2 linked regions of the Callithrix jacchus genome follow. The protein of the gene in region 1 interacts with the protein of each later gene in a pairwise test. Links are inferred from orthologs where the notes say so. Each region holds a gene or a part of one and is shown on either strand. Other genes may lie near its edges. The genes, in order: PRR22 and NELFA.

The links.
Region 2: the proteins of PRR22 (region 1) and NELFA interact in a two-hybrid assay, tested with the Homo sapiens proteins (2 studies listed by BioGRID). The two-hybrid records come from large-scale screens. The link is inferred for Callithrix jacchus from reciprocal best matches to the Homo sapiens genes PRR22 and NELFA.

Annotation. Positions count from the first base shown.
Region 1 is NC_133523.1:5,474,548-5,478,528, forward strand, and holds PRR22 (proline-rich protein 22), read right to left. Parts: upstream 2,222-3,981; 5' UTR 2,178-2,221; coding exon 2,048-2,177; intron 1,957-2,047; coding exon 1,894-1,956; intron 1,577-1,893; coding exon 555-1,576; 3' UTR 537-554; downstream 1-536. Other genes in the region: DUS3L (tRNA-dihydrouridine(47) synthase [NAD(P)(+)]-like), read right to left, coding at 2,685-2,757, 2,849-2,977, 3,073-3,261, 3,914-3,981.
Region 2 is NC_133504.1:191,171,759-191,174,901, reverse strand, and holds the end of NELFA (negative elongation factor A), read right to left. Parts: intron 2,891-3,143; coding exon 2,779-2,890; intron 2,146-2,778; coding exon 1,880-2,145; intron 1,778-1,879; coding exon 1,678-1,777; intron 1,581-1,677; coding exon 1,396-1,580; 3' UTR 785-1,395; downstream 1-784. UniProt on the Homo sapiens protein: Essential component of the NELF complex, a complex that negatively regulates the elongation of transcription by RNA polymerase II.

The sequences.
Region 1 (3,981 bases):
AGGTGCTGCATGCACCCCGCTCCTTCACACGTGAGCAGTTTCCCCATCCCCGCCCCTGCCACACGCCAGCATCTGCTCCCACCCTCAGATCTCAGACCATCCGGTGAAGCCCCCTGTACCCACCTGTCTGAACAAGAGCCTGGCCCTTCCCACCCTCCCTGGAGTGGCTGTGGCTTCCTGGGGACAGGAGGCACCTGGGCGGGGAGCTGGAGGCTGCTTCTCCAGCACTGCCTTGACAGCTGTCTCCAAGGAAGTTCCTGGCCCTCTCGGGGCAGTCTGGCTTTTCCCCACCAAACAACGGTGTGAAAATCCTTAGAACATGTTAATCTGGGGGGCAGCTCAGGAGGGCCCTGCCTCCGCCAGCAGAGAATGATCTTCCAGGGCTGGGACTCAAGGGGTTTAGGGTGTCCTGTAATTCCAGGGCCTCCCTGCTAGGCTCTGGAGGCCTCACTAGTCCTCGGGATGACGGGGCGAGGGGCCAGGCGTGCACCTCCAGGCCCCTCCGCATCCCCAAGGCTACTGCATGGACGTGGACCTAAAAGGTGAAATGCGCTTTAATGGGGGGCAGCTCCCAGGTCCTGCCTGGGCCCCAGGGGAGTGGCGCTGGCTGGGCCTGCGGGCTGGCTGGCCTTCCCTCCCGGTTTTCCCTTCTTGGCTGTTGAGGCCTTTCTCTTGCGGGACAGAATGGGGGCCACAGCATTGGCAACAGGGGGCCCCTGGCGGGGCAGCTGCTCCTCCTCCAGCGCCTTGAAGTTGAAGAGGTCGACACTGGACACAGTGTCCAGGATCTCAGGCACGCTGTAGTCGAAGGACAGCAGCTCCTCAGGCAGACACAGCGAGCGGATGTCGTCGGCCGAGTTCCTGCCACCGTCGTCAGGCAGGGCCGGCCTGGGGACCTTGCGCGGGGTCCTGTTGGGCTTGGTGGTGCCCGGCAGGCAGTCAAAGAGCTTCATGGCGTCCTCCAGCAGAACCTTGTCTGGGAGTGCCTTGGCCTCGCCCGCCCCCAGCAGGGCCCCCTCCTTGGCCTTGGCCACCTTGGGCTCACTGGAGCTGGGTGGGTACAGCAGCACCCCGGGCCCGGCCCCACTGCCTTGCGGCTCCTTGGTGGGGAAGTCCAGGGGTTCAGGCCCAGGGAAGTGGCCAGGGTGGCCCTGGAGGCAGCTGTAGGTGTCCAGGGGCAGCATGGACTCTGCAGGCCGCGGGATGAGTACAGGGGGCAGCTTGTTCTCCTTGGGGGGTGGGGCTGGCGGTGGGGCCATGCCTTCCTCGAGTGGCAGCAGGGGTAGCTCCATGAAGGCGGTGGGCCCCGAGTCCCCTGCAAAGCCCAGAGCCTCTGGCCCAGGGCCCTCAGGTGGGAAGTAGGGCAGGAGGAACTGGGGCACCCCGGGTACTGGCTGGTAGTGGGGGTATGGGGGCCGCCCCGGGAGGTAGCTGCCTGGGGTGGAAGGGCACCCCATTGGCCCCCTGCCACTCGCTGCCGGCTTGTACAGGGCCGACTGGCCCAGGTCGGGAGTGGTCCACTCGATCCGATAGATGCGGGGGTCGAAAAAGCACCCGCATGGGGCCATCTGGAAACCTGTGGGTGGCAGGCGGGTGCCCTGAGAGCAGCTGCCACCTGAGGGGCCCAGCCCAAGCCTGGGGGCCTGTCTGGGGGATGCCACGAGAACCTTGCCATTGGGGAGCCCCTTTGGGGATGGGAGACAGATACCACGTTGGGGCCCTGGCTGGGTGATGGGGACAGTTTGTCTTTGGGGCTCACTGGGGGACCTGTGTGAAGCATGGGGAGCAGAGGCCATGTCATTGGGCCCCCACCTAGGGGTGGGGCAGGGCAAGCTGGGCCCCAACACCCAAACCCACTCCCAGCCTCGTCAGGGCGCAGGGGGAGGCTGGTACCTGCTGGAGGGGCTGGAAACACCTCTTCCTCTGGGTTTGGGGGGTGATAGAGGTTCAGTGAGGCTGTGGACAAAGGTGGCCGCGTGGGTGGGGCCCTGAGGTGGGTAGGCCCCCAAGCTCTCCCCAGCAGGCGTCCACACCAACCCCATTATACCCATGGCGGGAGGAGGCTCGGTGCAGGTGGGAGCGGACTGGCTGCCCAGCACCTCAGCCCCCTCCAGACTCTGGGGGCTGAAGCCTTCCTGGGGAACTGCAGAAGCATAGAAGGATTTGGGGTGCTGCATGGGGTGGCGGGAGGCCTGGTCCAGGGGGCAGTGGGAGCACAAGTGGCCCAACCAGAGCACAGGCTGAGAACCTGGCGGGGTTCTGTTTGCCTGGTTGCTCTGGGCAGCGGATTCCAGCCTGCAGCCTGCTCACTGGTTGGGGTTCTGGGTGTCGGGGGTGGGCAGGGGGGAGACGGTGGCGGAGACGGTCATCACCAGGGGCAGGAGGACCCTGGGCCAGGCCTTCCGCCTCTTCCAGCAACACCCCTCTAACAGCTTCGAGGCTGCCTCATCCAGGCAGGCTGCCCTGATCCACACCCACGCAGGCTGAGGCCCCCCAGGTTTTGCACCTGCTACCTTCTTGGGGGTCAAGGTCTCTCTGGGGGCAGCACTGAGGCGGCCAAAAGGTTTGGGGAAGGTGGGGGCTGGGGATGGGCAGCTTCAGGGTCACAGAAAGGCCTCGATCTTAAAAGAATAAAATTTATTGTCCTCTTCTTCCCTCAGGGTACCCCGGGGAAGCCCCTGATGCTACTTGTAGGCATTGGCCTTGTGCTTCGGCAAGAAGGTGAAGTTGGGGGGCACCGGCCCAAGGAGCATCTCGCTGTGGGAGGGCGGGGGAAAGCAGAGTCAGGCCCCAGGCCTGCGCAGTGCCCCCCATGACCCAAGGCGCCCCGACTCCAGCCCCCGGGCACCTGATGCGGATCCAGTCATCTGCCTTCTGGCTGGCCATCAGCGTCTCCAGGTAGTCTCGGCCCAGGTAGTAGGGTGGCCGTTCATTGATCCTCTGTGGGAGCCGCTCCAGCAGCCCCACGGGCACGTACCTGTGGGCGGGCGGGTGGCAGGATCCAGTCAACCCAGCTAGCCCTCCCCAGCCACGGCCCACACAGTGCCCACCCTGGCCAGCCCCGGTGCCCACCGGCACAGGAAGGATAGCCACTGGAGCAGGAAGCGCCGGGTCTTCTCCACGCCCTGCGTGTCCGAGCCCCAGTGCTCCAGGCCGTAGTTGGTGAAGTCCCGCAGGATGTCCAGGCGCTCGGACGACGAGATGTCCCAGTGCCGCTGCTCCTTGATCTCTGTGAACAGCCACGGCTTGAGGAGGGCGCCCCTGCAGGGCGGGTGACAGTCAGTGGTCGCAGTCACCAGCCTGCCTGGGATCCTGTGGCCCAGACCACGAAACCTGCAAGCCTAATATGCCTCCCAGCTGTGGCACACAACCTTCAAAGCCCAGGACTTTTTCTATTTTTTGTTTTTGAGATGGAGTCCTGCTCTTGTAGCCCAGGCTGAGGTGCAGTGGCGCAATCCTGGCTCACCGCAAACTCCGCCTCCTGGGTTCAAGCGACTCTCCTGCCTCAGCCTCCCAAGTAGTTGGGATTACAGGCTTGTACCACCACCCCTGGCTAATTTTTGTATTTTTAGTAGAGACAGGGTTTCGCCATGTTGGCAAGGCTGGTCTTGAACTCCTGATCTCGGGTAATCCACCTGGCTCAGCCTCCCAATGTGCTGGGATTACAGACATGAGCCATCAAACCCGCCCAAAGCCCAGGACTTTCAAACCACAATGATCAGATCCCACAGCAGCAGCAATTCCCAGTCCCCTCCGCCCCAAAACAGCCGCAACTCCTGACATCGCTCTCTCCCACTCCCATCTCGGGACCATCCCGCCACAGAGCAGGCATGGGCGATGGCGCGTCGGGTTCGGGGCGCCGCTGCTGTGCATGAAGCTGGAGCTGGATCTTGGTAACCCCCCAGGCACTTACCGGGCAATCATGACCCCGGCGACACCAGTCTGCATGGCGTGGTTGGCGTCCTCAAATGACAAGATGTC
Region 2 (3,143 bases), on another chromosome or scaffold:
TGAGTGTAGTTGGCTGTTGTTAGTGGGTAGATAAAATGCTGTGTCCGTGGGTGTCATGGCGTCACCGCACTCCGTTGAGGTGCGAAATGCCCTGTCAGAAATTAAATGCAGACTGAAATGTGCCGATTGGTGTCTAAACTTCATATAAGGTCGGATCCCCTTTAGGAATACTGGGTGCTGTCACCAGGTTTGATAGTTAGACTTAAAAACTTGAAATTCACTTTTGGGGGGATATACTCAACTAGAGACTTGAGACTTGCCGGTTCGGGAAAATAGCATTTAAAGTGGAAAGCTGTGTTTGGAAAATAGTGTATGAGTATTTTTGTATTAAAAACATTTTAAAGGCTTTTTTTCTTAACTTATTTTATATGGGATTGTGTTTTTTTTCCAGTTGCTCAGCATTGCAAGGCGCTGATGGCGCTGATGCCTTGCACTCCGGAGGGGTGGGGCTCCCTGCCCTGACCGTGCCATTTTGCCTTTGTCCTGCTGGGGAGAGGCAGTGCCACCTTGGGACACAGAACAAATACCGGAAGTAGCAGGGGTGAAACGGTCTGGGGGAGAAAGAACCGCTGCTGTCCCTCAGCCCTGAGCCAGGTGGTCCCCAGGCCCGCAGCCAGGTCCAGGGAGTACCCCGAGGGCTGATCCTACCTGTTCCCCTCCCTGTGAGCCACGGTGTGCTAGAGAGCTGCCAGCCTGGGACCACCCCGTCCCGATGGCCGCTCAGGGAGGGACTGGGTCCCCAGTGCAGGGAGGACAAGCTAGCCCGAAACACAGCTATGGTGGCTTTCTTTAGAAAAGCTAAACTTTAATTGTTCAGATAATTTTACAATGAAAATAAGTACCCAAAGACCGTCTGTCTTAAATGTCCACAACTGTACAAAAGATGAATACAAAATTCCCCGGCAGGCACTGGCAGGGGATGAGGCCACCGTCTCCCACACTCTGGTGTGGCTGGGTGTCCCTGCCCACCCCCAGCATCCCCGATGCCACCTTGGTCCCCTCAACCTTGGGAGTGGGAGGGCACTGCCCCCGCGAGGGAAGGTCCTTACTCGCTGTCAGTGGGATTTCTTTAGGAAAAGACTTTTAAAACAGAGCTGTCAGTAAAATTAGGAAGTTGTAACTTTTTTGGTTAACTTACTACATTCAAAAATATAATGCTGAGTCCAAAAAGTGTCTTAAATCACGCAAAAAGGAACTCATATTAAATTTTAAAAGAAGCCCAAAACACCCCGGAGAAACGCATCCAGCATTGAAACAGGCCGGGTCAGCAGCAGGGCAGTGGCCAGGGCAGCTGGGGGGCCTCGTGTACCAGCTGTCTGCCGGCCGGGCACTTATGCCGGCAAAGCTGTCGTCCCTCGGAGCCCCCGGCTGAGGGCCTGCCATGAGGCAGGCGGCCTAGGACACGTTGGTCATGGGCTTGTACTTCTTGAAGCGCGTCCACTGGCCCGTGGCATAGTTCATCTCGAACACCGTGTCCACCAGCATGGTGGTGCTGCCCTGGCCATCCGCCTTGGGCAGGTCCTCCGTGTGCTCGCTCAGCTTGATCTGGATCACGTCCCCCTGCTCCTGGCACGGGTTCTCTGCAGAGGGCAGGGGCTGCTGGGTGGGTGTCTGGGGCCAAAGCGCCCACCCCCCCACCCGGCCCGGTGCACCCCAGCCCCTGCCGCATCCACACACCTCGGGAGCCGGCCATGAAGCCCAGGATGAGGGCTTTCTCGGGCCGCGTGACTTTGTTGGCTGTCTTGAACATCTCCTGGGCGGCGAACATCTGCTCTCGCTACAGCGGGCAGAGGGGTGTGGGTGCCGGGGCTCCGCCAGGACCACCTCCTGCCTCCCCCTCTGCAGGCACTATGGCACCCCCACCCCAGGGCATACCTACCGTGAGGGACAGGTTCTTCTTAGGCTGTTGCTGGGCAGGAGGCTGGGTCTGTGGGGCCACCATGGCCACCGGGGGTGTCTGAGTGGTAGGGGCGACAGCCGGGGGTGTGGTGGGCGTCAGAGGTGAGGTGGGGGCTGCAGGCGTGGGTGTGGCAGGGCTCAGGCCACTGTTGTACATGGATGCCCGCTGCTTGAACTGTGCCGGCAGCGTGGGGCTCGGGGCACTGGGTTCCTCTGGTGGGCGGCTGGCTTCCCGGGAAGATGGGGCTGCAGGCAGACCAGGGTCTGGTGAGGGAGCTGGACCCCCGCCCCCCGTCCCCAGACTCTAGTGCTCCTGGAGGTGACAGGCTCAGCTCCCCTTCTCTGTCCTGCTACCCTCTAATGAGAACTCCCGGTGGCCCCAGCTGGAGGAGCAAGGCCAGTAGTCTCAGGTCTTTCCAGACCCGCAGATAAGATGTCTGGACTCTGGCCAGCTGCTGGCCTGTGGTGGGTCCCCCATACCGGAGGCACTGATGGGGAGAGGAAGGCTGTGTCCGCAGGCCCAACGCCTGGCCTGAGGTGCCGTGAGCCTGGCAGTGCCTTCCATCTGGGAGGGGATGGCCCTTGGCTCCCCTCCCCACTACCCAGCAACAAGAGCTAGGTCACCTGGCAGAAGACTCCTTGCGAGCCCAATCCCCTTCCTGCCATATCCCCTGGGGCAGCTGCCTGTGCCCAGGACAGGCAGAGGGGCAAAACAGCTGGTTTAGGTCTTGGAACTTGAGCTGACTAGCAGGGCACCTGCCCCCCGCACTGGCCGAGGCAGAAGGGGGACAACAGAGATGCAGCAGTGAGAACTGCAGTCCTGGCGGCGCCTGGGGGGTGGCAGCTTGGCTGGTTTCAGGCTGGGGCCAGCAGACTCACCTGGGGGCGTCTCTGAGCTGGGGATGTAGGAGGAGGCGGGAACCACGCTGGGCGTGGAGGGCAGGTAGCTTGTGGAGGGCAGGGCAGGCTCATTGTTCAGGGACCCGAGTTTCTGGAAGACAGTTTAGGGTCCCTCCCAGAAGAGGCCCTGCTTCCAGCGCGTGCCCCTCACGGCCCACAGGCTCTGGCTGGAGCAGGACGGCGGGGGCCACTCTCCCGGGCTCCCTGGGCTGAGCAATGGGACCCCTGGCGCCCCAGCAGAGTCTGGGACTGAGTGGCTCCCGGGTAGGAGACGGGAGGGGTTGGGGAGCCCAAACTGCCCATCTCTGGGGACTGAAGGAAAGAGCAGTGCTTTTTCTTACCAC